Drosophila melanogaster: one gene and its partner. The protein of the gene in region 1 interacts with the protein of each later gene in a pairwise test. Each region holds a gene or a part of one and is shown in the gene's direction. Other genes may lie near its edges.

What was found.
Region 2: the proteins of CG14615 (region 1) and Nadk1a interact in a two-hybrid assay, tested with the Drosophila melanogaster proteins (one large-scale study listed by BioGRID).

What each region holds. Positions count from the first base shown.
Region 1 is NC_004354.4:22,440,205-22,455,462, reverse strand, and holds CG14615 (uncharacterized protein), read left to right. Parts: upstream 1-6,059; 5' UTR 6,060-6,227; coding exon 6,228-6,931; intron 6,932-7,326; coding exon 7,327-7,537; 3' UTR 7,538-8,280; downstream 8,281-15,258. Other genes in the region: wap (wings apart), read left to right, coding at 879-1,069, 1,273-1,732, 1,791-1,972, 2,035-2,233; tilB (touch insensitive larva B), read right to left, coding at 4,036-4,153, 4,215-4,427, 4,600-5,446, 5,509-5,518; CG14621 (uncharacterized protein), read right to left, coding at 8,474-8,932, 9,289-9,414, 9,480-9,688, 10,155-10,482.
Region 2 is NT_033778.4:13,535,515-13,551,445, reverse strand, and holds Nadk1a (NAD kinase 1a), read left to right. Parts: upstream 1-5,996; 5' UTR 5,997-6,138; intron 6,139-8,882; 5' UTR 8,883-8,962; coding exon 8,963-9,285; intron 9,286-10,648; exon of another isoform or gene 10,649-10,759; intron 10,760-11,777; exon of another isoform or gene 11,778-11,920; coding exon of another isoform or gene 11,921-12,051; intron 12,052-12,096; coding exon 12,097-12,474; intron 12,475-12,590; coding exon 12,591-13,248; intron 13,249-13,396; coding exon 13,397-13,684; 3' UTR 13,685-14,075; downstream 14,076-15,931. Other genes in the region: Nadk1b (NAD kinase 1b), read left to right, coding at 490-773, 1,530-1,847, 1,910-2,492, 2,552-2,839.

The sequences.
Region 1 (15,258 bases):
TTATCTGGTATATAACAATGATTTTGCACAAGGTATTTCTTATAGCTATCTGCGCGGTCACACTGTTTTTGTGTGAAAATTCTGTCGAAAAGAATGTATTAAAAGTTCTTTGAATACTAATTCCGTGTAATTCCGACCGTGCTGTTTCAGAAAACTGTGGTTGGATTGGAAACTTAACCAAATTATAAGGTAAAACCGGGGCAGCTTGCCCATCGAAGGACCGCCACAAACGAATTTTCGCGTCGCATTACGTTTTAGTGTTGCCACCTTATACGGAGTGCCGGGCACAATTCCACTTGCTGGCCAAACGGATGCGTTGCGGTCGCGATGTGCACGCCGTTGAATTAATTCCTTCGCCCTGTTGATTGAGTACAGTTCGACTTCTCCGATCGGTGTCCTCCAGACCTAAATTTCGCCGGAATAACGACGGCAAACGGACGGACGGACTCTAGTCGGAAAACGGGCGAGCTGGCAATACTGCCAGTGCACAAAATGATGTGAATCTCGGAAAAGAGGAAAGCTACAGGAAAAGCCAAGGAAAAGCAAGCCGGTAAAGTGTGCAAATGCGAGTGGCAAGCAAAGACCTTTGTTTCCCATTCCATGAAGTTTTCTTGAGTTGTCCGCTGCTGTGAGTGGTCATTATCAGCCATCATCATCATTGTCGTCATCATCACCAAAGGAGCTCGTCGTCATTAGGCCGGCCACCAGCTAAACGGCATTGAGAAAACTCAGCAGCACCTTGTCATCCAAGTCTTGATCTTCGTCTTGGTCTGGATATCCGTATCCAATCACACAGTTCAGGTGGGTTCTTGATCCAGACTCCGAATTCGAATACGAGTCCTAGATTCTCATGCTGATCCTTTTCCATATCTACAGTTATGTCCTCGACCGCCGGAAAGCGCAAGGAGATCTACAAATATCTCGCGCCATGGCCACTGTACTCCATGAACTGGAGTGTAAGGCCGGACAAGCGATTCCGGCTCGCACTGGGCAGCTTCATCGAGGAGTACAACAACAAGGTACAGATCATCAGCCTGGACGAGGACACCAGCGAATTTAGTGCTAAGAGGTATACCGAATATTTGTTTAGCTGATCCCTTCTACTTTCTGTTTTCATTTTATATTTCGTATATTATCTTTAAAAAATAATATAAAATGATAAGCAGTTTTGATATTATTGTAATCATTTTAAATATGAATAGTTATTTGGTTATACGAACCATTTTTCCGAAATCCCCTTCCTCACTGACAGATTATTTCTTCTTCAAATAGCACCTTTGATCATCCATATCCGACAACCAAGATCATGTGGATCCCGGACTCCAAGGGTGTCTATCCGGATCTGTTGGCCACCAGTGGCGACTACTTGCGGGTGTGGCGTGCCGGGGAACCGGACACGCGGCTCGAGTGCGTACTGAATAACAACAAGAACAGCGACTTTTGCGCTCCCCTCACTTCGTTTGATTGGAACGAGGTGGATCCCAATCTGGTGGGAACCTCATCGATAGACACAACCTGCACTATCTGGGGACTGGAGACCGGACAGCCGCACGCTCGCGTCTATGTGGCAGGACACGTGAAGACGCAATTGATTGCCCATGACAAGGAAGTATACGACATTGCTTTTTCGCGGGCCGGCGGCGGTCGGGACATGTTTGCCTCGGTGGGAGCGGACGGGTCGGTGCGCATGTTTGATCTGCGGCACTTGGAGCACTCGACCATTATATATGAGGTAAGTAGAACGCGCGAAAACACAAAAACGGATGACTACATAACGATAAATCCAATAGGATCCTGCTCATACGGCGCTGCTGCGCTTGGCCTGGAACAAACAGGACCCGAACTACTTAGCCACCGTTGCCATGGACTCGTGCGAAGTAATAATTTTAGATGTTCGTGTTCCTTGTACACCCGTTGCAAGACTGAGCAATCACAGAGCGTGCGTCAACGGTATTGCGTGGGCGCCGCATAGGTGAGACTATAAGATTCCTTAAACCTAAAATGTGCCTAAACAATTTGTATTTTGGTTTGCAGTTCCTGTCACATCTGCACTGCCGGTGATGATCACCAAGCACTGATCTGGGATATACAACAAATGCCACGTGCAATCGAGGATCCAATTTTAGCCTATACAGCTGCCGAGGGCGAAGTCAATCAGATTCAGTGGGGTGCCACACAGCCCGACTGGATAGCCATTTGCTATAACAAAGCGTGCGAGATCCTGCGGGTCTAAGTAATTTTTTTTGGTCTGGTCCTTGCTGAAGCACCTGACTGCAATTGCTGAACAACGCACAGTCAACAAAGAAGCAAGTCAGAAAAACACACAACACCCACAAATAAACATACATTTGCTGTTGGTAACTTGGAAGCGGAAAGCAGTGAGCTTAAGTTGGATTAGTTCTGTCAACACGCGTCCGCAGTTTGTTTAATTTTACTGTCTGTCGAGAGAGAGAAAATGTGAAAGTGACGGATATAGAGGCAGAGAAATGGAAAGAGAAAGGGCTTAAAAGAAAGATATGAGTTTGAGGGAAAGAGAAGAGGACGAAGCACTTATTCTAGAATTCTTAGCTGAGTTGATCTAACAAGTATGTAATTATATAAGGTATAACCAAAATATGTTTTATAATTGTAGTTTATTTCACACTTGACAAATCCCGACACTCACACCCCCGAAAACTCCAATCAATTAGAGCCGCTTAATCTTTTTTATTTCGTTTTTATACGAACCCAAATGGAATGCAGAAGAAAAAGAAATCATATTTATTATAACACAATGTCCTACCTCGTTTTTTCAAACATGAATGCTGTTAATCGAGTTTTCGAGTCTGGTCAAAACAGCAACAACCACAAAAATACACAGAGAACAAAAAATGAGAGGTAAAAAAGTAGCCGGCAACAACGCTTTTTCGAAATATTTTTACTTTGTTCGATTTTTGTAACAGATCCAAAAAACGGAAAAACGACAAAAACAAGAGATAAAGAAAAACAAAAGCAAAACCATGGACTTAAGCAATTGCAAAACAAACATAATATGAAATGAATTAAAGAAATAAGCGAAATACTTACATAGATTAAAGATTAAAAACCAAACCAGGAAACTGATGACGAACTGCACACAACACAGCTAGAATACAATACTATTTAAAGATACAAACTAAAAGATAAAACAAATACCGAAATATATGAGCGAGAGAGAATACAAGATTGTTGCTATATCCATTTAACAAACGAGCGAAAATAAGCAAACAAACTATGATCATTTCAGATAAGACACGACCCTCCATCAATAATCTCAAATCTTAACCACATCCCATACTTTCCACAGGACAAAGCGACTTTTTCAGATAAAATCGAATACATTTTTTTTATGTATCTTGTAATTTATAGCAATTTCACAACTTATATATAAATATGTATACAGAAAGCGATAGCAGTAATAATAATCCCGATGATCGTGTATTGTAAATACAGCATGAAAGGCATATTTTAAACGAAAACCAACTTAGGCCCTGATTTTGTATAGCCATTTAAGAGGCCACTTCACGGGAATTTATATCCTCATATCCGAATACTTTTTCGTTTGCTGCAGAAGAGTAAGAAACTGAAATCAAGTCTATGGAATTTGGAATTGGATATATTTTATACGCTCGTAGCCACTAGGCGAAGACATTTTCATTAATTTGGCAAACCACGGTTTCCGTAAAAAAAATAATCGAAAAAAAACCAAGTTAGAATATAATTTTTAATTTAATCTTTATTTTCGTGTGCCCTGTTTTGCATTATCCGACTTACGTTACATTTATATATGAAATGTATATGTACACAAACACACACACACACACACACACACACTCAAGCGCATATATATATGAGCATCCGATCGGGCTAAAGTATTTACTAGAAAGCTAATGATTGATCGATGGAATGGATGGATCACAAAAACCAAACAAAACAAAAGATCACTGAGGAGTTTGAGAAAACAAACCAAATCAGACAAATATTTAAATAAACCATTTTTAAATAATGAACACAGTCTCAAATTAAATCGGGAAGATCTTCGGGTGCACAAATGTTGCTGATGTCCACTACTCCTCCGTGAAACGCTTCCTCCGGTTTCCCATCTTTTTTTCCTGCATCAAAAGGGGCGGCAGGGCTACATGAAAAGGTAGCTAGGATTTGTGGTTCATGATATACAATGAACTGGATGAACTTACCTTTTAGTCGGGCTTTTCTTGGCTATCAGCAGCTCGTTAACTTTTAGCTTCTTAAGATTGACCACAAGGTGACCTGTAATCTGGGAACGCTGCACAGTGGACTCATCCGGCTTGACCTCCTCGCTGTACGCGATCTGGAAGATCTTTTTTTTGACGGTGACTCTAGTGTATGTGGTCTGCACATCGACGTCAATTAGAGAGGTATCCAGGTGTCTGGGCGAAGGAATATACATATGCAATATTAATTAAGAATTTTGAAGTGTATGTATATGATTGGGGCGTAGAAACGATCAAGCAATACCAATATCGATATACATATGTAATATGTTGGTGATAACTTGTAAGATATGTATAAGTTTGGTTAAGACATCTTAGCCTAGCTTACCTGTACACCTCCAGTTGGAGCAAGTAATGGTCGGCCTCATCCCGAAACTTAAAGGGCAGTTTGGCCTGGTTCAGATTGTAGGGTCTGCCACAAGGAGCGAAGAGGTTGCGCTGTGGCTTCAGAGGGTCCAGTGGGGACTTGGTTTCGTGCCGCTCCCGTCCCAATCGGTGTTGCCGAGCGATCTCTGTGCGAATCTCCGGGCAGTGCTCGCTCTTCGCCTGCCAAAAGGCCTTTATGCGCTCTTCTTCGTCCTCTATGCCGGCACAATGTTCAGCCAGAGCGGACTGCTGCTTCGCCACCCGGATACGCTGCTCATCACGTTCGATGTCCTGTTCTACCTGCTTCTGAACAATGATGGACCGGTTCTTGGACAGTTCCCGCAACGCTCGCAGACGTTCCGAGGGAGTGATCTCCACGCAATCCAAACTGTTCAGCTGTGGCAAGGTGGCCACCACGTAGTCCCTGTAGTGCGGATAATCCACGCAAGGATTACCAATGAGTACCAACTCGCGGAGATTGTAATTGCCACATAGCGACTCAACACTGGTTAGCTCTCTTATAAAGTTTAAAGTAAGATCCAGTTTACTAAGCGACTCACAGCCCTCCAGATTCTCCACTCGTTCTATGTTGTTGATGGCCACATTGAGGTACTCCAGGCGCTTCAGCTTGTGCAAGTTCTCCAGGCGCGCAATCAGGTTGGATTGGAGGAGTAGGATCTTGAGGTCGCGACACCAGTTCTGGATGTGTTCAATTACCTCGATGTCCTCCTGGTGCAAGGAGATCTCTTCCAGCGTGCTGATTAGACGTTCATTGTGCTCTGATTTCTTGCGGACCAGCTCTTCGGTGACTGCGGATTAGTCAGTTTAATTGGTACGTTAACATTACTATTCTACAATTTCAATTACTCACTAAGCACCATACTGCCGAATGTGTGCTGTAATGAAAGTTAATAAACTTCCACAAGCCGAAAAGGGCCAGGCCAACTCCGTTGCTAGGCAATTTTATATTCCACATTCCTCGTTATTATTATTGGAGAATAAAATAATAAATACTATACTATTCAAAACTCGTTACTCAGCAATGTACATACTTCAAAAGCGGGCGAGAAATTTTGAAATTTTGACATTTTTCTCGATATCGATATCGAAAACAAATAAAAATGATTTTTCACTAGCGGGCGTGACAGTTTGGATTGGTTTGTGGACGTTGGAGAGGTGTGGCCAAAATGTGTTTCGTATACCGATAGAAATTCGCCAGATAATAAAAAATAAAAATAAAAACGAAAAAATATAACAAAATTCTACATTTTACATATTTTTTATACGAGCCTTGCAATGGGCATAGTTAACCAATCCCAGATAATATGTAATTAGTTTCTAATCCCAGATAATAATTACATATATTTCATAGCGCCCCCACTATGCTGCCCGCTCTGAATGAATTTCGCCCCTGGACAAACGAGAGAAATCTAATCAGCTGAATTACAATTAAGTAGTTTAACTAGCGAATTAACAGCGACGCATTTACTGCGGCCAGCTCTCTAGTCTTTTAGCAGCGGGCAGGCGGAAGGTTCACAAAAACTAAATTCAAATCGAATCGGCTGACAGACAGATACATATAGACCGGCAATGAGTTCAGATAAGAACGGTGATATCTTGCGGCCACTTAGCGATAGCGAAGTGGACGAACTGCTTGATCTATACAAAGTTAAATTCGGTATAAGGAACTTCCACTACCTATTACTGTACAACCAGCGAAAATGGGACCGCCAGCTGAGCGAGGCTCAAATACCGCGCAATGATCTGAACCACATTTCTCTGAGAAAGCAGTTCTACACCCATCGAAGGGGAAACTTCCGGACGTGGGGCACCTATGTGAGCCTTCATCGGGACATCGTGCAGAGCGTCTCCTTCTTCAGCTGGCAGCCAGATGGAGCCGCGGAGCTGTGGGAATGCCTGGAGCAAACGCAGCTCATCGAGTGGACACAGGGAGCCCTGCTGACCAACGTTGATCTGGGATTTTGTAATCGAGTCAAAGAGTTGGCCGTCAGCCGCGGGGTCACCGCCATTCAACCACGCCAGTGTTTCGGGATGGTTTTGTCGCACGAGGATGCCTTTTGTGCAAAAGTTCCAGATCTGCCCTCTGAGTTCGAGATTCGGCGATTGAGGGCTGAGGATGCAGCCATGGTGCACGATTCCTGGCCTAACAAGGGTGAAGGCTCACTCACTTATCTCCAGGCGCTCGTCCGTTTCAACAAATCCTTGGGCATCTGCCGAAGCGACACTGGGGAACTGATTGCCTGGATCTTTCAGAACGACTTTTCCGGACTGGGGTGCGTATATCTGAAATATATCATGCACGCGATAACAGCAATGCATTTCAACTTAAGTATGGTGCTTTTGTTCACAAAAGGGATGTAGTTTAGCAACAGTTAAGAAACCAAAAGGTCAAATAAAAATGCTGAAACAATGTGATCTGGCTTTTCCAAACATATATGATCTCACTAATAATGTTCTTCTTTTATATTCATGCCGATGCGATTGCTAGCACATATGTATGTAACTTAATTAACAAAGTAACTCTTATGGTTTTTAAGAACTCAATTCATAATCCCTGTGAACAGCATCACTGTCGGCATAGTAACGATGATAATATATGTATTCCAAATGATAAGCATCTCTGTACAGAGCTAGTCCACGATAAACTTTTCTCTTTATTTCTCTTTAGCATGCTGCAAGTGCTGCCCAAGGCGGAGCGTAGAGGACTAGGTGGCCTCCTAGCCGCTGCGATGAGCCGAGAAATTGCTCGGGGCGAGGAGATCACCCTAACGGCCTGGATTGTCGCTACTAACTGGCGGTCGGAGGCGCTGCTCAAGCGGATCGGGTACCAGAAAGATCTGGTCAATGAGTGGATTAAGCTGGTACCGAATTCTTCATAGACGCTCCGGTCGCCAAAGAACTGGCGACGGTGCTGGATAGTTAGACAACTGGTAAATAGGTGAGGTCAAGAAGAAGACGAGGCGATTTGCATTTGCTTTGCCTATGTACATGTACATACATCAACAATTTTATTTTGGCATTTAACATGCGTACACGCTTTCTGAATACACTTTACGGCTTAATGAAATTCGAAAACAAATTCGAAACTAGCGGGCGGGAGGGGATATGGAAATCGGGGACTCGAACTACTTATTTACACATACGGCTCGCCTCCAAAACAATATCAAAAATACATTTTATTTACAGCATTGCATTGCATTCTAGGTATATATACATATATTACGCACTTTTGACTGAATCAAATTTGACATTTTCGAGTTAATTAGCTAAAGTATGTCATAGGGTTACGCATTTTATACACCTTGCGTAAGAGTGTGTCGTTTTCTCTCAACGGGATTTAAATTGAAAATTTTGCGAAACATTAAGAGCGATAATATCTTAGAATTAAGACACTCCTTCAGTCCCTTTACTTTAACTACTATTCATTAGCCGTATTGATTACGCACCTTTTACGTCTTATTTTCATGTTTTAATTCAATCATATTAAAGAAGCAAACTTAAATGTTTCAAAAGTCGGTTGTGACATTGTTTTGTGGGGTTGAAGCCACTTCCTTTAAATTCGATTGAAAATAAAAATGTTGCTTCTTCAATTAAATTATTAATTTTAGAGTTGCGCCTCTTTAGTCAAACATATTTAATATATACACTATATATATATATATATAAATATATAAATATAAATATAATATAATAATATAAATACATATATATATTTATATATATAAAAGAGGGGAGAGTCGGAATTTGGATGGTGGTCGTCACAGGTTAATACTATTTAGCTAACCCGCTTATTGGATACATTCACTAACTACACACTAAACAAATAGTAGCCGCGTTGCCGTCCCGCTCGGCATTCCGCTGCCATTCGCCAGCAGACTGTTTCCGGGCGTTCTGTGCAAGCCATTGGATAGCTTCCCGTTGACCGATCCCCGGTAGTACGGATCTGCCTGTTGCTCCAGCGGCGAGTACTTGACATAGCTAGTCTGCGACAGCGGCAGTGTCGGTTGCTCGCGACCCCGCGTAAGCTGTTTGGCGCGATTGTAGCAGAGCACACCCACAATGGCCAGCGTCATGCCTACGCAATTGACCCACGTCACTGGGTTGCCCAGGATTAGGAGCGATACTGCGATCACAAATATTCGCTTCGATGCGCTGGCCACCGCATAGGTGAGCGGAGTCACCAGAGACAAGACGCTGAAGGCGATGATGTTCTGCAGCCAGTTTAGGACACCGTCGGCGAAAAGCAGGGCAATAACTCGATAGTCTAGGTTTTTCTGTAAAAGCGCAAATTTGGGTTAGTTAAAAACTTTAAGCACAAATTCCTCTCCATAACTTTGGTTTTGGTCATTAGTTTTCTTCCAAAGTATTTAGTGTTGAATACACTTTTAATCTTGTATTGCTCGTGTGTATTTACTTAATTTGCTTGGAAAGGACTTGTTTTCTTAAATAATATTAACAATGACATCCAAGACAAATGCAAGGGAAATGTCATTTGGCATAATAAGGAACACATAAAGAAGTAGACGATAGAAAGGTAAGACGAAAGGTAACCCTAACTAGCGCCCTATCAAAAATACTATTCAGAAGATCAGATGTTGCTCATTTGTGCAGAATAAGGTACCCTACTCACAATGGCCGTGTGGCGGAATACTGCAAAGCTGTCCATGTAAAGCCATAGGGGGAGGAAGATGAACAGCGACAGCTTGCCAAGCAAATGCAGCAGCCGTAAATGGTGGATGTTGGTGTCCTTGAGAACCTGTCGACGATAAAGGTAATTTACAAATGTAATGGAATCAATAACAGACTCTGCGGGGGCGTTACCTTTTTTGAGAAAATGTTTTGCATGGAGAAGCCCATTGTGGAGATGAGGGCGCTGATAAGGCCCATCATATCAAAGGAGATCTCCGTAACTGTGGCTATTCCCACGCCGGTGATAATGGGCAGCAGGCTCAGGTACACGAGTGTCGGTTGTTTCTCACCAAAAAAAACGCGTGTCAGGACGACGGTGAATAGTGGCATTGTGGCTTTGACTGTTAAAGAATAAAAACGTATTAAAGTTAAGACCTATTCCTTTACCGGCAAAATAAGAACCTACTTTAAACTTAAATTCGTTGATCAATGGTTTGGCGGTAATCATAAATATTAACTAAATTGTACTTAAGCATTACTTTTTATAATTGTTTCGAAATCGGATTTAGTTGTTGGATTAAGCATTGACACAACAACTTTTTATATCACTTTACAGCGTTTACATTGATCATTAAAATGCTTGAACACCTTGGAAATGTACAACTACCTTAAATATAATTTTTTGAATAGCTCTTCAAGATAATTGGTACTGTAATAAGGAACATAAATATAATGTCAATATGCCAAGTACATATCAGCGACACGATCGTTATCACATCTTGCCGCTTGGAAATTTCCTCCCAAGCACATCACACAGATTCTGCTGACGTGTTGGGATACCACTAGATTGGCGGGCACTTGACTTACCCGTGTGCGCGTAGGAAACTGGCACCTTCCATAGAGAGATGTGCGAGGTGACGGAGGCCAGGAGCTTGCCAAGCGCTAGCGGCACAATAAGGCGGTAATAGTAGGGACGAGGTATGTCCTGGTACTTCCGGATCCGCCACAGGTTGAAGAAGGGTCCGCTGTACAGCGTGATGCTGCACAGCTGCACCAGAGTCACGGTCATCGGAAAAGGGAACTCGTTCAGGACCATCTTGCCGATCACGTTGTTGCTGGAGGAGATCACGTACCAGAAGAGGCACATCAGCAGCACGACCGCTATGTGCCGCGACCCAGTCCGCTTGCCTAGCATTTTTCGTCTGGGATTGGCCCGTGCTCTCGTGGCTTAGGTGCGGTGCCGATTCTACCGCGAATCGTTGGCGACGGGCGAGGGGCAAGTGGCAAGACCTGGTCCTGGAGCTGCTGATGGTGCTGACAATCCGACACGCGGGGCTTATTGCATTGCGCCTGTTGTTCTTTTAAAATTTAAATCGTCTATTAAAACGTCGTCTGTTTTTTGTTTTCTGTCAGTGTTACCAGACTGTTAAAAGCCCTTTTACCCCAAACGCTCTCGATAAACCGCAATTTTGTACTCCAGTATGCAACAGTTCCGTCAAAATTAAAACAAAAGTATATACATATATAAGTTATTTCCAAATAAAAATAAGCTAATGCATTATTTTAAGAACTGTAGACGGTTGATAGTGTTTATTTCCCTGCCAAATTATCATTCGAAAACGTATTTGATAACATGGCTAATCAAATTTCGTCCTTCCTTCTGGGTTTTGATAACCGAGGGTTTTGTATTTGTATTTGATGCATATCCAAGTATAGCTATAAAATAAATCGTGTATGAGAATCGTTTATGGGAATCTGATTGTGTTTTCAGATGGCGATGAATGATGGGAATGTAATCGATATGCTTTAAGTCATACGATTTTATATTGTGAGAAATGAGCAGTGTGGAATTAGAAGTGTGAAGTTTTATATATTAATATTAGTAGCTTTGATTTGACATTAATTATTGAAGTAAACTTTTTAACTGGATCATGTCCAAATAAAGAATAGATGTCATTAATATCAAGCGGTGTTAGATAATGCACATCATATATGTGTGTCAAATTAGCATCAATAATTTAGCAGCGAATATGGAGCGGTGGAGTTTGGAACACGAGGGCTGTTAGGAATTTCATATTATCTAGCTATCTATTACAAAGACAGAAACATCTAACGATCTAAGCAGCTTTTGGCTAACTTTGAAGTCTAAAAGAGAATTTGAAAAGCGTTCGAAAAATCCGAACTATTTTGCGGATTTTTTCCCTTATACAGGTTGTACCAATTAACTTCGGTGAAAAGCCTAAAAAACTATCGGTTAAAACAAAACCGTTTTACAGTGGTAGGAGTTAATTAAATGCAAGAAATGTCGTTAAATTAAAAATCCTTGTTCGGATAACCACATATGGACATTTGAGCAATGTAAAAAACGTGTATTCACAACGTATATATTCAGGCATGTAATCGGTAATCGTTTTTTTTCGATTTCGATTTTGGTCTGATCTGTTGATTTAGTTTTTAGGTTCTCTAGTTTGTGCAAAATTTGCTATCGGAGTGTTTCATACATAGTAAACAGCTGTTTAAGCTGTTTTCCAGACAATAGAGAGGCAACAATTTTTACAGTTTCAATTCCGAAGATCGCAATTACTTTTGTACTGCACCTTGACCATTTAAGTTATTAAATTCAATATTTACGATAACACTTTTGGCCCTCCATTAAATTAATTAATAAATTCTTTTATATTTTATACGTATTTTTACCTGCGTTTCGTTTCACAAACAGCACTCGCGATAACTTTTGTTGCGGACGGCAAAATTTAGTTTGTCATATCTGAGGTGGGGTCAGAAATAAATTTTGTATAAAATAAAAACCAAACACTCTTCATCGGTACCACTAGGCTTACTCATTTGACTGAACAGTATTTTTTCCAGCCTAAAAGCATTCATAATATACTGTGTTATTCGTTCTATTGAGAAGATCACATATTTTCGGGCTGTTTATTTTAATTGCGATTTTACTTGTTGTAAATTCGGATCGGTGCAAATACAACCGTCTTCAAATCGACACCACCACAACCCTTGAGGTCAAAGAACTTCAATCAGCGTTAAAGGATGAAAAATGTTTCAACATTTCAACAAAAATTGATAAAGGAACACCAAGCACCAGCAGCACAATCCCTACGAAGATTGCCATTGGATATCATTTAGCATTATTTATAAAAGTCTTAAGTTTTGGCAGTATAATTAGGAGGATCCGTATCCATATAATTTAATTGAGCATCTTCACACATTTTCCACTTTGAAGAAAATAAAATCAATTAATTATTATATATTAATAATTTAAACAAAGAAGTAACTAGCTATTTTGACCATCGACTCGACTTATTGATAGATCGGCAGTTTGTCGATTATTAATAATATATAATAAATAATATTAGGTATTAATTATTTGATGTTGGGTTAACTAATATATTTTAGGGCGGGGTGAGACCGAAAAGATTTGTTCTCGTTCCTCGTTTCCATTGATTCCTATATTTGTCTACTACTGCAACGGTAGTTGATGCGTCAGACTTTAAACCGTCCGTGTAAAGCAATTTCCGATCGGCGTATTTATGGGTATCTCCAAAGACACTAGATTAACAAGATGCGTAACTGCCATACATTAGTTTTGCACTATGCAGCCACTTTTTTGGCGACGACCAAAATTGCCCTCTGTCCGCTCGCTTACGCTGATAGCGTAATAAATCTAAAACTAGAATTTGCTTGCTTAAAACAATAGACGAGAACGTGTATACATATGTGTGGGTATTGTGCTAGAAGAAGATTTTCAACCGAAATCAATTCTGATCCAAGAAACGAATTTACACATGTCGCAGACCATTTAAATTTAACGACATTTCTCGCAATTGCGTGTTTCTACTTGGGACGCGCAATGCAAGCTGTCTGCACGAATAACGGGAAGCGTACAGAATAATGCAGTGTGAATTAGTATTGGTGTATGCGGACTAGAATAAGTCTCCAAAATGTGTTGGTATTGCGTGTCGAGTTAACAACTACGAATAATTCTTGTTTTTGTGAAAAGAGATTGAGTCAGTCAGTAATCGATCATTGCGCAGAACAGACGTGCCTCGCTCGCGCGCCAGAAAACGTTGCGCAGACAATGACAAGAGTAGTGAAGAGGAAGAAGGGCATCCTGATGACTCTTCGATACATACATATTTATGATATGATGAAATACAACAATAATTAAAACTCAATACTCACGCCGTGACTAATATAATTTTAAAGTTTTTTAATATTCGTTTGCTAAAATTGCCGTTTACATAGTTACAGTTTGTCAAGAAACTGTTTACACACCGTGAAATAAGTAGAATTTTTGACTTTAAAGGTCAAAATTAAGGGTTTTTTGCTTAATTAAACGCAATTTTTTTATGAAATATAATTAAACAATATTTATTTTACTTATAAATTAAAAAACAAATTCAATATATCAAATATACAAGAAAATAAACAACAAATTTCAAGTTTACACACTTTTGAGAGTGTCAAGAAACTCTTTACACAAAACACTAAACCTAAGTTTAATCCTAAATTTTTTAATTATTTTGTTAATATTTGAAAAGTTTTAGTATTTAGTATGACCCCCATTGGCTTTGGCTACAAGTTGAAGCCTTTTTTTCATGGAATGTATGAGTTTTTTTAGGTCATATTCAAGCGGGATCTTTTCCCACTCTTCGACTATCGCAGCCATGAGTTGTTGTCGTGTTTTGGGGCCCCTTTTTGCAACCTTATTCTTTAAGTAGGCCCACAAATTTTCAATGGGGTTTAGATCAGGACTCTGAGGGGGCGTATCGATCACCTTGCCACAGTTATAGCAAAGACACTAGAATAACAAGATGCGTAACGGCCATACATTGCACTATGGGGCATTTGGCCTGTTTTTTTTACAATAATGTGTTTTTCACAAGTATGCAAATTTGAAGTATTTTAGTATTAATACATTGGAAATACGTTAAACTGTTATGATATAGCCCGCATAAGTTAATTTAACAATGCACTGTTATAATAACAGCTGTTAAAGTCGGCTGTTGCGAGCATATACCACGTGGCTGCTTTGCGCGCAAAATTTAGCTTAACTTTCAAAGTGTTAAAATTTAAAAAGAAGAAGAAGGAGAGTATAATTTGAAATGGATAATCAATCTTTAGGTTCTTATTATGTGTTGTTATTAATATATTGTTTATTGTGTGCGCCTATTTCTAACAATTTGTACATTTAGCAAGTGGTGTCAACATGTAGTTGTTTGAAAAAATTTTCAACTTTGAATAGAGCTACAACAATTTGTTCAAATTTGTTCAGTAAGTGTTTATATCCATGTTGTAGTGTGTTCAATTCCTAACTCATATCAGGTAGTCTCTATGTGCGTTTTTTGCGGTTTTTTGAGAAATTTCATTTTTTAGGGAGCAATATCTCGATTTCCAATGCTGCCCTGCTGGAAGTGTGGCGCACGCAAAAGGGTGTTCGTCAAAAGGAAAATTCTATTTGCACTTTTATCAGTGGGCATTTTTCTGATAGCAAGCTAGACTTTAATAAACGATTAACTAATAATAATAATAACGAATGATTTCAGTCAATCTTTTACGAAATTGGAGAAAATGCAATCGAAAAATATATGAATTTTTAAAATTTTTTTCAAATTGGTTAGAAGAACACCTAGTCCTGAAGGTAAAGGAGAAAAATTAATAGGAAAGGAAATTAGTTGGACTCCCGAAAACGTCATATTATTTAAAAAATTTGAGTGGCCGAAGACAGCAAGCAGATGAACTCGTAAGGGCGCAGAAACACAACGAACGTCTTTTGGTTCAAGCTGCACGGAAGTGCTGCCTGCGGGATCTTGCAGCCATACTTAAAATTCTTTTGTTGAAGCCAGCCACGGCAAAAACTATTAGTAGCTTCGCAGATGTCTTTTACAGAGCAATGGATACTTCGGATCCCATAATATCATCAATAAATTTAAAGAGGCGAAAACATAAGCGA
Region 2 (15,931 bases), on another chromosome or scaffold:
TTGTTGCTCGCACTCGCGATCGCCCGGTTGACAAATTCAGGGCCCTCCGTCATTTCCATTATGGCCATCAATTTTCCGCCCATTTGTGCGCAATAATCAGTGGTGGAAAATCGTTGGAAAATTATCTCACCCTTGGCATAAAGTTAAAGTGAACACATAAAGCATAAAGCCTAGTTTTTCTTAAACACTCCATCAGCGTAATGCATTTCTGATTACCAGTTTGTGTGTCACATTCGCTGATAAAACACTTTCTCTTTTACGGCCGACACATTCACATTTTTTGGGCTCATATTTTGTTGGCTCATCGATGAAAAGTGCGTGGGCGTGTTATTTTTAAAAGCAACCGACTCTCGTGTTGTGAAAACAAAACTCTAACCTTGGTCCCTTTTCCGCTGGCCAAAAACAATGCCGTCCGACTGCATTCCATGAGCGCAAGTGTATGAAACCGCATTCTTTTTTGGACACAAAAGTGGAGTTACAATCGCAGAAATGGCATTGTCGGACATTGATTTGGCCACCTTGCACGAGAATCGCTTGGAGCAGCGCTGGCACTACGGATTGCCCAATAGCCACCACATATACCATCAGCATCATTATCATCATGTCGGATTCAGTGCCATGACGCGGCTCTGTCTCGAGCGCAATCTGCAGAGGAAAGTGCAGCCGGACCACAACGGAAACTGTCTGGCACGGGGACGTTCCCGGGAGAATGCCAATGCCATTGATTCGTCGTCGTCAGGTGGTGGGCGACGCAGGCGTTCCGGCACCTGGCCGTAAGTGGACAAACAGCTGAAAGGTTCCCCTAGCTATGAAATTGCATGCGAAAAGCATGGAATTCGTAATCCAAATCCAAATCGGTACGATGGCGCAATAAGTGCACTGGCAAAAATATGGTTCCTACTTACATATTCAAGTGGAATAAAGATTTATTGTTCCAAATGTTCGAATTTCAAAACTTTTATAGCATTTAAAGTAGATCTTTTAAATCAAATACTTTATTGTTGCTTACTTTATTGTACATAAGTTCCCTTACAACTGAATGTTTAACCAAGCCCCTGTTTTTCTTAGTGCATCTACGAATGCAAGCAGGAAGGGGAATTGGAAATGCGATTCTGGGGAATCGTATCCCACCAATGTTCCCCAATGTTTTTCTCTCGACTTCTGTCTGCCTTCGCAGTCGCCATTTGCATAAGGTTGATTTACAGTTGAGAGAACTTAGTCTGCATACTGCAAAGGTGGAGAAAACAAGCCAAATATTCTGAAAATCCTGTTGAAATATTGAACAAATGTTTCCCCTGCGTCCTGATCAGCCGCAGGCGGTTGCCTCGTTTCCGCTCCACAGCTCCTTGAGCATCGAAGAGTTCAACAATGTGAAGTGGGAGGATATAAATGATTGCAATAACAATTGCATTCGGGAGGAGCCAATTCTAAGGCCCAAAACCAATCGCCATATTTTAAGGTCTTTAAGGAGCTAGGTACAACAAAGTTATCCATACTAATTGTTCTGTTTTCCCAACTCTATTTTACAGGCGCACTCGCAGCTTGAATGCACCCTCGCCTGTCCAGCAGTTCGGACCATGTGGTCGCATCATGAAAAACTCCGCCATGGTGATGCAGATCCAGGATCCGGCTAGTCAACGTCTCACCTGGTACAAGCCACCACTCACCGTGCTCGTGATCAAGAAGGTCAGCGATGCCTCGGTGCTGGCACCGTTCGTCTACCTGGTGGACTGGCTGCTGCAGGAGAAGAACATGGTCGTTTGGGTGGAGTCGGCCGTGCTGGAGGATGTCCAGCTCAACGAAAATGTGCGATTCAAGGCCATTCGGGATAAGCTAGTGACTTTCAAGTGAGTCGGTGTTTAATGAGAATGTGTATATAATATAAATAACCTATTCATTATGCCCGCAGAGATGGCCGAGATGATCTGACCGATCGCATAGACTTTATAGTTTGCCTGGGTGGCGATGGCACCCTGCTGTATGCTTCGCTGCTCTTCCAGCAATCTGTGCCCCCCGTCATGGCCTTCCATTTGGGCTCCCTCGGCTTTCTCACACCCTTCCGTTTCGATAACTTTGAGGAGCAGCTGACCAGCGTCCTGGAGGGTCACGCTGCCCTAACGCTTCGCAGTCGTTTGCGCTGTGTTATGCATCGCAGGAGCGATAGGAAACACGAGGCTAAGACTCTGGAGGCAGATCTAGATGGTGAGGCGCGACCTGCAGCCAACAGCATACTGGTGCTCAACGAAGTGGTCATTGATCGTGGTCCATCGCCGTATCTGAGCAATATTGATCTGTTTCTGGACGGAAAGTATATCACGTCGGTGCAGGGCGACGGTCTGATCGTATCGACGCCCACGGGAAGCACGGCATATGCGGCGGCGGCCGGTGCGTCCATGATCCATCCCTCCGTGCCGGCGATTATGGTGACTCCCATCTGCCCGCATTCGCTTAGCTTCCGACCCATTGTGGTGCCAGCAGGAGTGGAGCTGAAGGTGGGTCGCTTTACTCATAATTCCCATAGATCCGTTTCTAACATCTGCTACATTTTCAGATATCAGTATCCCCCGAGAGCCGCAACACATCGTGGGTTAGCTTCGATGGACGCAACAGGCAGGAGCTCTTCCATGGCGACAGCCTTCGCGTGACCACCTCCATTTATCCCGTGCCATGCATCTGCGCCCAGGATCAGATATCCGACTGGTTCGCCTCCCTAGCCGACGGACTGCACTGGAATGTGCGCAAGCGACAGAAGTGCCTGGACGAGCTGTCGGATCTGACGGCATCCGGATCGGAGGATACGCTGGACGAGATCGAGAACATGAAATTGTACGATGTGTAGTGCGTAAGTCCCTGCAGCTAATAGAAACCGTAGGTTAGGGCTTTTAGTTGTAGTTCTAATGCTTTCGCCCTTTGCTTAGTGTGTAATTTTTGTAGTATTTTCGGTAACAAATTGTTTAAACACATTTGCCAAATGTATGGAAATCATTTTATAACTTTTACTGTTCGAAACGCCAGTGCTCTTGCAATATTGTACATTTCAGCTAGTTAAATATAAATGCAGTTGCAAACTGTAGCAAAAAGTTGTAGAGAGCATTGAATGAATGAATCTCAAATCTTTGAGAATTAACATTAAAAAGTCCCACTTCTAAAAAGATAAGCAATTGAATTATATATTACTTAATAAAATAATACCTGTAAATTCAGCTTGTAGCCGCAAATTAATGGAATGTTTCAAGCATTTTACCAAATTTAGCTTGAACATAACTTATAAAACATTGTCAAGTTGTGCTGTAGATTAAGCCTGATTGCAAACTGATTGAAATGTGTTCTCCTCCAGCTTCGCCTTGTAGATTTCGCATTAGTGTAGTTCCAGCCGGCACACCCAGATCATCTGGACTGGTTTTTAGAGCGCCTCTCCCAGGCCACTTGTTGCATGTTGTTCACCTCGCGACTGTCTTTGGATCCAATCGAATCGGAATCGGATTGGATTGGATTGGATTCACGTGGTTGCCACGCACTTGGGCCTGTCAGAAAGCATTAGTTTGCATCGATTTGGGTGCGAATCGAAAGTGTATGTTGCTATCGCCGATGCTGAGGCTATATGTTTTGCGCCCTCAGGCGGTACGAGCCATGTTCATTACGCGGCTAAAATCTTGTGCCATTGTGTTAATGCGCGCGATCGTGTTTTAGCCGCATGTTTTCGCCTTTTTTGCCCGCCGAACTCAAGGTGTGCTCGCCGTTTTTTTTTTTTTTTGCGTGTGCGTGCGGCAGGTGTGCGATGCGTGCCTATCTGGTCGTGTGAACTGCATAAAATCTGAGCGTAGTTGATGGCGAACGTTGCCAGCGAACGGTTGTAATTAAGTTCGAAATGAATCCCGAAGATATGCAGCGGGCGCGTGAAATGGCCAATGGAGACGCCTCTACGCCTGGGAGTTCGCCAGCTCCGCTAAGGAAAGCACTGCCAATCAGTTTGCTGGAAAAGCGAACTCAGTTTCGGTAAGTTGTAGCGAAAAATGTCCTTGAAGTGCCAGGCATTTTTCAATTTTAAACTTGAGTAGAGGTGTAATGTCTTTAAATGAAAAAAAGTTTTTAAAATAACTTAAGAATACTTTTATGAAGTGCTAATGAACAAGAAAAATTAAGTTTTGTATATAGTTTTAGGAAGCTTTTCATTTTTTTATATTCAGTGTAACTCAAATACTTTAATTGTACGAACCTAGATGGTTTTATTTCGGTTGCCAAGCAAATCATTGGTATACCTATTATTTAAACATATAAGCCAGTAAACTTGAAAACCCAACAACACTTGCTGTTTATTTTTTATAAACAAATCTGATAATAAGCGAAAGACCAATTTAAACTCTCGCGCCTTAGTGTGACCATACGGTGATAACTGCTGATATGGGTATTTTTTGCTACGCGCACAACTGCCACACAGACGTGAATTGGTGCAGGAAAAAAACAAATAACATGGACCCATTGAAACTCGCGTTCGTGAAATTGCAAATCAGGAGCTAGTCGCCGCCTAGCCCAAAATCGGGAAGTTGTCCATCGAAAGTGGGTGTCGTCGGCAGGTGCAACGCGTTAGTGGGTCAAGTTGAGGCCAACACAACACATCACTCACATTGGCGCACACATAGGTGCGCAGTCACAGATATACACACATACAGCTACAAGCAGGTGGCCAAAACAATGAAGTCCTCTAGCTCCATAACGGTTAACCCAGCCCCAACGACCACCCCGTCGGCCGCGCAAACGGTGCCGAAGTCGGCCTCCCAGTGCAATGGATCCTACTACGACGACCACGACAATCAGCTGCTCCATGTGAACAGCATACGACAGGGACAAGGAGGCACTGCAGCATCATCAGCACCGGGTCCTGACCTGAATAACGGCACTGCCAGCGATGACCTCCAGATGCGTATGTGGTGGTAAGTGGGCGGTTCAAAGTGATGACAACACCTGATTGCGGTTTCACGCCAGATCTGGCCTTTTTTTTGCTAGCTGAGGATCAGCTGTTTCGTGATCAGCTGTTAGGCTGTTGCAGTTTATATTTGCATTTGCTTTATCGATCCGTCTAAAAAACGGTTATTATAACAGATGTTTTAGTTATTGCTAGTTCTTTAAAATCATTTGTTTTGACAACTATATAAGAAACATAATGTCTTAAACATAAATGGAATACAATTCTTTTCCAGTTGCTGAACCATCACATTTCATTTCAGACATTCCTTTTAACCTGTCTCGAGATTAGAGGTTTGGTTTAAAAAAAACAAAACTTAAGTACGAACGGAGACGAAATTTGAATTGTTATCAAATAAGTACAGCCCTGTTTTTCACAGCAAAGGAAATGTACCACCTACGTACACTATGTACATACAGTATATAGTGAATTGTTGGCAATCAATTAGAGCTGGCGGGAAAATGCTTGCCTCTCGAGTGGCCCACACATGTTGTTTGGGTTCGTAATTTTCTGCGAATTTTAACTACTGTTAACACGTGTGACGAATGTGTGACATGTGCCAGATGCAGGCCACTAAAATCGATTTTCTGCACTTAATTTCCGATTTTTTCCTTTGAGTGTCGGAAATTATAGGCTTAAAGCCTCTGTTAACAGGGCTGTACATTTTGTTATGCCAGCTTTTCGAAAAGTAATAATTTCGTGCTTAGATTGTTCTTATGGCGCTATAAAACGGAATTACCCGCTGACTGCATGCATCAATCATATTTTTGTGGGATTTTGATAGCAGCAATTAAACAGCCACTGGCCGCTGATTACATTTACATAACAGTGAGAGCACCTGTTGCTCTAAAGCATACATACATATGCATGACGCGTGGCTGCGCTCAGCTGATTTCCAACCAGCGATGTCCGGCAAAAACCCGCCAAACGATCTGGCCGTTCATTGTTTACAATCGCTCGGCTCGCGTACTTTTATTTTCGAATCGGAATCGCGCACAAATCGTCCAACTTAATCACCTTTTCGGCGTCGCAGCTCAGTTATCGCATATTCACCGGACAGCACGGTCGTGTTCGCTCTCAAACTGAAACTCACCTGTCGATCGTGGAACGTTGTTTTGTTGCTCGCTTTTCGACTCGGTCGTTTACCTACCTTACCCGCTTGCCGTCGATCGCTGGTCAGTTTAAATGTTTAAGCCGCCGGAATGCTGGAAGCTTCGCCTTGGCTCGAGCTAGTGCTAAGGAGAAAATAAAACAGATTATATAACGTGTAATTAGAGCACTTTGTTGGCATGCCACTAGTTAACGTTAACGTTAACGTTAACGCTGTTTTCTAGCGCACACATGACTTGGCATTTCTGGGCTCCGAGCCGCAAGCCCACTTTCGATTTCCTTCTACGGTCTGCAGCCAGCTGGCTAGCAATCCATCTAACTACAGAGACTAGATATTGCAGATACACTCCAACTTCTTGCAGACTTTGCTAGATGGTTCTGCATTAAACTCAGCTCAATCTGTAGAATCCACTCAAGAACTGGAGGTCAAATTATACAAGTCGGGTTCTCAGTTTAGTTGCTTAATAAGAGCTTATCACCTCTAATAAGTTGCTATCGTTAAATGTTGCTACCTTGAATCGTGCACTTATTTAAAAACTTATGCTTGAACTTAATTAAAGCCAAATTTGTGTAAAAGATCATAATTCTTTATTCTAAAGAGTCCAATCTACTACAGATCATAAAGAATTTAGTAACCTAGTTGGACTGTCACATTCTTTGACTCACTTAAATAAACAATAAAGCAATGTTGCTGGCCAGAATAAATAAACCCAAAGGGGGTTAATTATTTATTCAAACTAAACTAGCACAAAGTTTGAACACACAACTGAAAGTAAAGCAATGTATTCACTGTATTAGCTGGGCGCTTCATAAAATAATTCAAACAAATTAGTTATAAATATAGTACATTTTTGGAATATATAAATTATATAAATCAAAGCGTCAATATTGTAGTTTATTACTACTTAAGATAGCCATGGACTAAGCCCGGTCCATAGCTCGATGTATTATTTTTAAAGTGAAAATTGCTTGTTAATTGTTTAATAATCTATGCAAAGCAATTTCCCACTGATTACATTTTAATAATAAAAACAAAGGTTGCACGTGTACTATGAAAGTTCAGCGTTAGTACCTGCATTTGCAACTTTGGAACCTATGAATTCATAACGAAAGGCGTCATTTGAATTATGTATATCATGGCAAAACCCGTGCTGACATGTGGGCACGTTGTGGCCAAGTGGTTACACAAATTCGTAGGTGCAGTTCCCTTGTCCACTTGCCGATCCATTCAATGATAATCGCTGCACTTAGTCGATGCCGCTGCGCATTTAGCGCTGCTCGCTTCGTCCGTTTATTGATTAATTAATTTGTGCTCGCCGCCTATTTTGTTTCAGTTTTCTTTGTATAACTCATGTCCATAAGTCATTTACAATTCGCTCTATTGTCATAGTCCGATTACTACGGATGTAACTGGCTATATAGCGACTGGTGGCTTGTGCCTTCCTTTGTTTGTTTGTTTGATTTACAGAAGCGTTTCAATGACTTGTGCTTACTTGTTGCTTCCTGATCTGGGTAAAAATAGAAGAGCGGGCGGGCTTTGGATCACGCGATGCTAACATTTTGGTTATGCAATATAATAACTATATAGTTAATTAGAATTCCAAAAGCGAGTGATCACTCGATTGAAACGACTGGGAAGAGATGATTGGATTGTTGTGCAGCTTAATAACAAATACGCCCCTCAAATAATAGTTGCAATTCTTGATAAAATCAGTTGAAGAATCTATTTCCCATGTTCTCTCTGTACTCCTGCTAATTCAGCAAGGATCCAAGCTTCAAGAAGACCTCCTCCACAGGTACTTCCCCAGTCTGTTAAGGCCTCCATCTTATCAGGCCACTCAACAGAATCTTGGGACGACCTCTGTTAATGAACTGCTGATGGGGCACTTTCGGAAAGAAACCGAAATGATGGGGAACTTCAAGCTGATCGCACACACAGGTCACGATTTCTAGATTAATGGCTGGCGATACTGTTATGCCCAAGTGGGTTGTTGTTTTCAAAAGAGCTGCAGAGAAGACTGTTTAATTGTGGTCCAAGTGGACGTTTTTTTTTCGATTTTTGGCTTGCTCAAAGGTTGTTGACCAAAACGCAAACGCGATCACGAACGAAAAAGATTTAATTATATTTCTCGTTATAAAGCTAACTGTGTTTAGTACGTCCGAGTTATTTTTTCGTGCCGCTTTGCCAGCGGATTTCTTGCCAATTGATTTATACTTGACATCGTTATGTCGTGGTGCTGGCTAAAGCAGGCGATAAAAGTTGGCCAAGTCCAAATACCGCTAAACCACCCCAAATTCCCCGCTGACGGAAGCTGACTAATGACGCATATGAGGCCTTGTGTCGCTCCTTTCTAGCCATCTCCTAATGACTCGCATCTCCCTCGATTTGTATGGCTCTTTCGTCAAAGCCGGAACTACGTTGCTGGTCCGTTAGGTTGGACAAAAATAAAAAAGCAACCAAAACAAACTATTCGATTGCTTATAACAAATTTATTTTGCACAAATTTCACAAGAAACACAAAACCGGTTCAAATACGAAAATTCCCCCCAAAATACAAAAAAAACTGATCGTTTTTGTTTATAAACTTTTACCACGCGCCAAAGCAGTTACCGTTTTTATATCCCACAAAAATGTATTGCATTCTTTTGTTACAAAAAATGTTAGCTTTGTTAACACCTCCAGCAAAAGGGAGCAAGGTTAACTCGTCTATTTTACCATTGGCTCAAAATCAGGGCCATTTCAAGGGTGTGAGCTTCCAAGAAATGCCAAGCGAAATGTTAAGCTGAATTTTCCAATCCAAATTTATAGTGGCAAAATGTTTTAGCAACGCGAATCACCTGTGAACATTTTGAGTGATATTTCATAATTAGCAATCAAAAGACTTGAACATGACGTGCCTGTCGGACATTGACCTGGCCACCCTGCACCAGCATCGCCTGGAGGAGATCTTCAGCTACAAGCTGGCTTGGAGTGGCACTGGCCATCAGCAGACCCAGTACAATGATCTCCTCGTGCGCCACAATGCGTCGCTAAAGCGACAGAGAATCATCCAACACACGGCCAATAGGGCCAGCACAAGGGCCAAGGATCAAGCATCCACTGATGATTGTGTGGCCACCAGTCCAGGAAACATTCAGGCCAAATCCGAACAGGATCCGGATGACGGCTACTTCGATTCCACGACACGACGCACGCGTAGTGGCACTTGGCCGTAAGTAATCCCAACTAATCACAGTTCACGGCAACCCCGAAAAAATCCTGATAAGCAAAAGACAGAAAGAATAGTTATGAACTAGATAAAACTATGGGAAAATGATTCACAATTTAAATAAAAAAGTGATGGACTTTGAATGCTCATGCCCAAAAGCCAAATTAGCTTAAGAATAGAAACGTATGAAAGCTAAAAGAATGTTTGCAATCCACCAAGAATATTTGTTTAACAAAGTGAAACTTTTTTTATTGGTATGAGCTAACTTAAAAGCCAAGTAATATTCACCCAAGATATTTTGTTTTACTCCATGACCTTGAATTTTTTATATATTTTCATAATGAAGTCTTAAAATATATACATTTAATTACTAACAACTAGACCTTGAGTTCTAGAAATAACTCTCAGTCAACAAATTATTTTCGATATAAACAAATTATTGAAAGTCAGAAAGCAACCAATAATAAGAAAAAGAACAAAAAATTATAAATAATTAATCATAGATGACGTATTTTTGCTCAGTGGGGTTTGTCTGAAAGTTATCAGGTCGTGGCAGCATTTGTTAGCGGCATGTCCGCGATAAGAAGTGTAGCTCCGTAATCAAGTGTTTACCATTTTGTTGGTGCTTATCAGGTGTGAGAAGTGTGGTGTGCATTTAGGCGTTTATTGTTTACACAGATCAAATCGGTTAATAGTACACATCGAACTTTGTATCAATTTCACAACTGATATTTCGCCATCAGCATGATTAAGCAAGCAAGTTATCAGTAAATAAGCTCCTTTGGGCTGAATTTTTTTTTATTTTTTAGTTAATTCATTCAGGTAAACAAGTCCTTGACCTTTCTGCATAGTTCAGCGTTTGCTGCTGCGTGTTTTCATATTTCCATTTTTTTGGCCACTTAAAAACGAGTTTGTTAACACCTCAATCATTGGTACTACGTTGGCGCCGTCTGTTAATTTATGTGTAGGTTTTTTTTCTCTTTGACAGCTACTATTTTTTTACAGTTTGTTTCGAAGAACTTGAGATGCCAGTTAGATTCGAAATCGGTGCCAGTTTGTGCTCGGCGCCGGTCATAAACCAAGAGCAACAGGTAGACAGACAGACAAACATACGAAATCGGATTGACAGTCGCTCGTGACCGATTCGCCGTGCCGAAATCCAAAGGTGTGCAGGTCAGGTGGCTTTAACCGCATTTGCATGGCTTGTCTGGACGGTAAATCGATTATACATACATATGTATGTACATGTAGTAGACCCCTCATTAAAGCCCTCGGGAAATTGAAAATGAACCGGACTTAGCGCTTGCGATATGCCAGTGATTTAACGAAATTTAAAACATTGTCATGCTGACGTTCCATGGGCAATTAGGTTTCTTCTTGTGCCGATCGATACTCTCACCTGGAAATTAAGTTTAGTCTGTGTCTAGTAGCAAAAGAACGCGTGCGTTTAACGAGCATTTACTGCGAAGCAAGTCGCGTAAGTTAAGAAATGAATGTGCATTTCCTCAGAAGTCGTTATCATGATTGAGTCGTTGGAGAAACAAGATCACCTTCTGTCATCACATCCTCCTGCCTCAGAACGTATGCGTCATCTTAACGTAATTTCCTTGACGGGCTCCTTTCGCCCAAGTTTTTTGTCGGTTGTGCTTTGTCTTTAAGTGAGTCAGTTCGTATTTTTATAATCACAATGGCACTATGTCCGTGATTGATTGATGAAAAAAGTGCAATGCGATTAAATTATGTTATTGATGAAAAATGATGTGGACTGTATCAATATATTAAAACGTGTTTAAAATATAGTATTAGCACTTTGCGTTATCTTACCTTACTGTTTGGTGCTTTTTGATGCTTTCTAAAGATCAGAACGCATGATTTATGGAAAAAGAAATTCAGTATCGATTTTATTTTATTCATATATTTTAATGTTAATAACTAATGCCGTGATGGAAACCAGCGATTATATACATTTGCACAATATATTAAGTGTAGCTAGAGCAATTATCTCTTCCAATTTGCATAAATACAAATATTAATTAATTAAATTTCGGAACCCGATGCATCCCACTGTTCAGCATCCACAGCGCCCATGGTGCAGTGGTCCAGTTCCTGTCAGTCTATCTCTATCTCACCGCTCATTGGTTTACTCTACTCTCTCTGATATCTTTGAGTCTCTTTGTGCTGAGTCACTGTGAATTAGCACATCAATCAAACCCGTTAGCAGCACCCCCACACACTCACACTCACACACTCGCACGCACAAAGTTCAATAGCAGAATCTGAGCATTGCTCTTGCTCCACCACTTCCATTTCCGCTCTCTTTGGGTTCTCTTTCGCGCTCTTCCGCTCTCTGTTGGCATGTGCAATTCCTGTTTGTTTGGGCCGCAGAATCAACAAGTTTATTTGCGCTGCTACGTGTTGTTGTAATGAAAACAAAAATATAAATTCGTTATACACATACCTTTATTTTGTGTTTTCGAACACCAAATTGGCCTGTCAGTGATTTTGTAACCTTCGAACGAGCAGCAGTCGCGCTCGCATCGGAATTCCCAACAAGTTTGTGTGTTGAGCACTACGTACCTGTCTATAAACCGATAATAAAAAGGGCGTGACCATCGAAATTAGCTAAGAATTTGGCGTTATGCAGCACCAAAAGTTAAGACTAGCTTCGGCCATGCAGCGCCAGATTTCCGAAACTGAGGAGCAACAGGTGACCCCAGTGGCGCCCGATCCGCGTATTTTGAGGTGTACTCGTAATGGCAAAACTTCTTTGTGTATCTGATCTCTAATGTGATTCTTCTCTTTTAATATTTCCAGGCGCACTAGAAGTCTGAATGCTCCGTCGCCATTCCAGCATTTCGGGCCATGTGGTCGCATTATGAAGAACTCCGCCATGGTGATGCAGATTCAGGATCCGGCCAGTCAGCGTTTGACCTGGTACAAGCCACCTCTCACCGTACTCGTGATCAAAAAGAAGGACTCACAGGTCCTGCCGCCCTTCGTTCAGCTGGTGGAGTGGCTGGTGCAGGAGAAGCACATGGTCGTCTGGGTGGAGTCAGCCGTCTTAGAGGACAAGCTGCTACGGGATGATGTTAAGCTGGAGCAGGAGAGCTCCAAGTTCCAAAAAGTGCATCAACAGTACGCCGGAGTAAGAGCGCGTTTCCTGGATCTCCGTGAAAAGCTAGTGACCTTTAAGTGAGTACAATTACGTAGCTAATGAGAGTTTTTTAAGTTACTTTTCATTGCACCAGCAAATGAGAGTAGTTTTCTAGGAAGAATTAAGCTTATAAATTCCCTTTCCGAATCCGCAGAGATGGCCGCGATGACCTGACCGATCGGATTGACTTTATCGTCTGCCTGGGAGGCGATGGCACTCTGCTGTACGCCTCACAGCTGTTCCAGCAATCTGTCCCACCGGTGATGGCCTTCTATCTGGGCTCCCTTGGGTTTCTTACGCCCTTCCAGTGCGACAACTTCCAGGAACAGGTGACCAATGTCCTGGAGGGTCATGCTGCCCTAACGCTACGTAGTCGCCTGCGCTGCTCCATCCACCGCAAGGGCGAACGCCGCAAGGAATCGCTTCTGCACTCGGTGGGTGGTAATCTCCTGATACCGAGTTTCCAAAGGCAGCTCAACTACGTGGAGCTTAACAACGGACAAACAGGAAAAGCTGGCAGCAATAATAACAATGGCCACAACAATAGCATCCTGGTGCTTAACGAGGTGGTCATCAACCGAGGACCCTCGCCGTACCTGAGCAACATTGATATCTTCTTGGAGGGCAAATACATTACGTCGGTGCAGGGCGATGGCCTGATCGTATCGACGCCCACGGGAAGTACAGCATATGCGGCAGCAGCCGGTGCCTCCATGATCCATCCCTCCGTGCCGGCCATTTTGGTGACGCCCATTTGCCCGCACTCGCTGAGCTTCAGGCCCATTGTGGTGCCCGCCGGAGTGGAGCTAAAGGTGAGTTTGCTTATAATTAAATCCGCCACTTTACAAATTTTATATTTCAATTAAGCAACTTTTTATGACAACAAAGTTTATGCGGACTTTGGCTGTCTAGATCGCGATTAATAGCACGACAACTAACAGATTTCCCTTGACCTTGCAGATATCAATTTCACCTGATAGCCGCAACACCTCACGCGTTTCCTTCGACGGACGCAACGACCAGGAGCTGAACCATGGGGACAGCCTGCGAGTGACCACCTCAATCTATCCCGTGCCCAGCATTTGCTCCCAGGACCAAATCTCCGATTGGTTTGACTCCCTGGCCGAGGGTCTGCACTGGAATGTCCGCAAGCGGCAGAAGTGCCTTGATGAGCTGTCGGACTTGACCACTTCGGGGTCGGAGGACACGCTCGATGACTTTGACAATCTTCAGATCTACGATGCGTAATGGCAGCCAAACCCAATCACTGTTTGTTAGCGTGGCCAATTAGACTAGTTGTAGTCGTAGTTTTTAGGGCTTGTGTGCTAGTGTGCAATTTGGTAGGCTTAATTATGTAGGAAAAATACTCTGTTGTACTATATACACTTTAAGTCGCTTGGTTGAAATGTTAAATGTTAATTGATTCCGATCGCAATGTTTGCTTAAGCTAGACCTATTCTGTTGATTCTTGTGAACAAAAAAAAAAATTACAGCTTACGCTTAGCTCTTAAGTTTTTATTATTACAAAACATACGACTAATTGCGTCGAGTGCTAAGTACTTAAGCTGACTCGCGTTATCTGTACAATTCGATGGAGGTAATAAAAACTGTATTATTTACTTAAAGCGCCACAAAATCCATTCCACTTGTGTTTCTTTTTTTTGGTTTTGTTTTCGCGCAACAGGCAAATAAAAATGCAATTAACTAGATAAGAAGAGGGTGGAATGGCCGGAACAGTAGCAATCCGCAAGGACACTTAAGACGACAAGTGCTTTTATAGAAGGGGAATTAATGGCTCGGCAATTGGTCAATGTCCAGAGAGCTAACTGAGAAGATGGATGGAGTGCAGAAGGGAGTGGTGCACATTAATCATAAAATCACCAAAGGATTCTAAGTTAGAAAATGTAACGGATTGAATATGGTCATCAGATTATGATCAAGTACATCTTTATATTGCTTTGGATTGCGAATTATTTATGGACTGGGCCTAAAAGTATGTCATCGTTCATTGTCTGCAGAATGGTGAATGATTTCAATTCTGTAGCTGACCGAAAACTTTTCTTTCCAAAGATTTCTTAAGTGTAAAAGCCGCACGATAAATCAAAAGCATAAAATAAAAGCTGGCAATAAATGTGACTAGAAGTGTCCTATGCGACCACACCCTCTAAATGCTCGTGCGAAAGTGTGCGTACGTGCGAAGTGCGTTTATTATCAATTTTCACGCTTTTCCTCGGCGCCTTTCCACTTGCTCACTTGGCGAGCAACAAGTGTGGAGCCGAGTGATTTCCACAGCTTCCCATCGCTTCGGCATTTTCCTCTGACTGGCGGATAAAAAGCAATGCGTATTATCCGAGCCATCCGATTGGTCGTCCTTGGCCACGCCCCCTTTTTGGACACTGCGCAGGACTAGTCATTTGCCTCAATTTTATGCTAGTGGTTCCTCAAAGTAAAAAGAAACGGCTGAAAGCACATTAATTTAATTTTTCTTTTATTCGTTAGCCGTCTTAAATGGTTTGCTCTATATTCTGGCCTAAGCCCGCTTAATCGGGTCAAATAAAAACCGCTTTTATTTAAATGCATTCTATTAAAATAAGTTAAAGAAATTAAAGAACATCAATGTTTTCAACATCGACACATTACTCAAGTTGTATGAATATTATAAAGTAGGATCAATATTTTTGTAACATTCAAAAAGTACCCAATATGTAGAATATTATTAATTATAAAAAATTCTATCTTCATTTATAGTTTTCTTTTTATAATTTGGAAACCTTCTAAGTTGTAAGATTATTTTTGGAATCCTTTTACAAAATGATCTTTCTGAAAATTCTATAAATAACTTCTCACCATAGCGTACTGCTTATAAGTTATCTGCCCGATAAGTTTGCAAGTGCCCGGCTAGCTCAGTCGGTAGAGCATGAGACTCTTAATCTCAGGGTCGTGGGTTCGAGCCCCACGTTGGGCGAAACACTTTTTTATAATTATTTTATGTTAATTTTTTATTCAATATAATAACCTAGAATATTTCACTAATACTTATTAACGTATATTAATCAAAATAGAACATATTATAGATCTACGTTCAATAAAAAAAAAGTAAAAATACTTTTAAGTCCTTCAATGAGCCAGTCAGCTATTCACTTTCACTGCCAAAGAAGAAAAATCCCATTCAGCATAGCCAAAGCCTTTTCATTCGGCTGGAATATAAAAACGCAATAATAAATTCAAAATATTTGCGGAATTTTCTAATGAAGTCGGGCTCGTTCTCCACTAAGACAAATGCCGAGCGGAAAAGGCGAACTGAACTATGCGAAAGCAGTAGGAGGAGCAGGCAGCTTCACAAGCTTCCGATGCTGCTGAAGATGATGTGGCACGTGTTGATATTCCAATTGAATGCCACCAAATATGCGGAACCCACACAGGACTCGGCGTATCATCCCCAGAGCATGGGGAATCGGAAAATATATCTCCACCACAGGCATACCCACACGAACC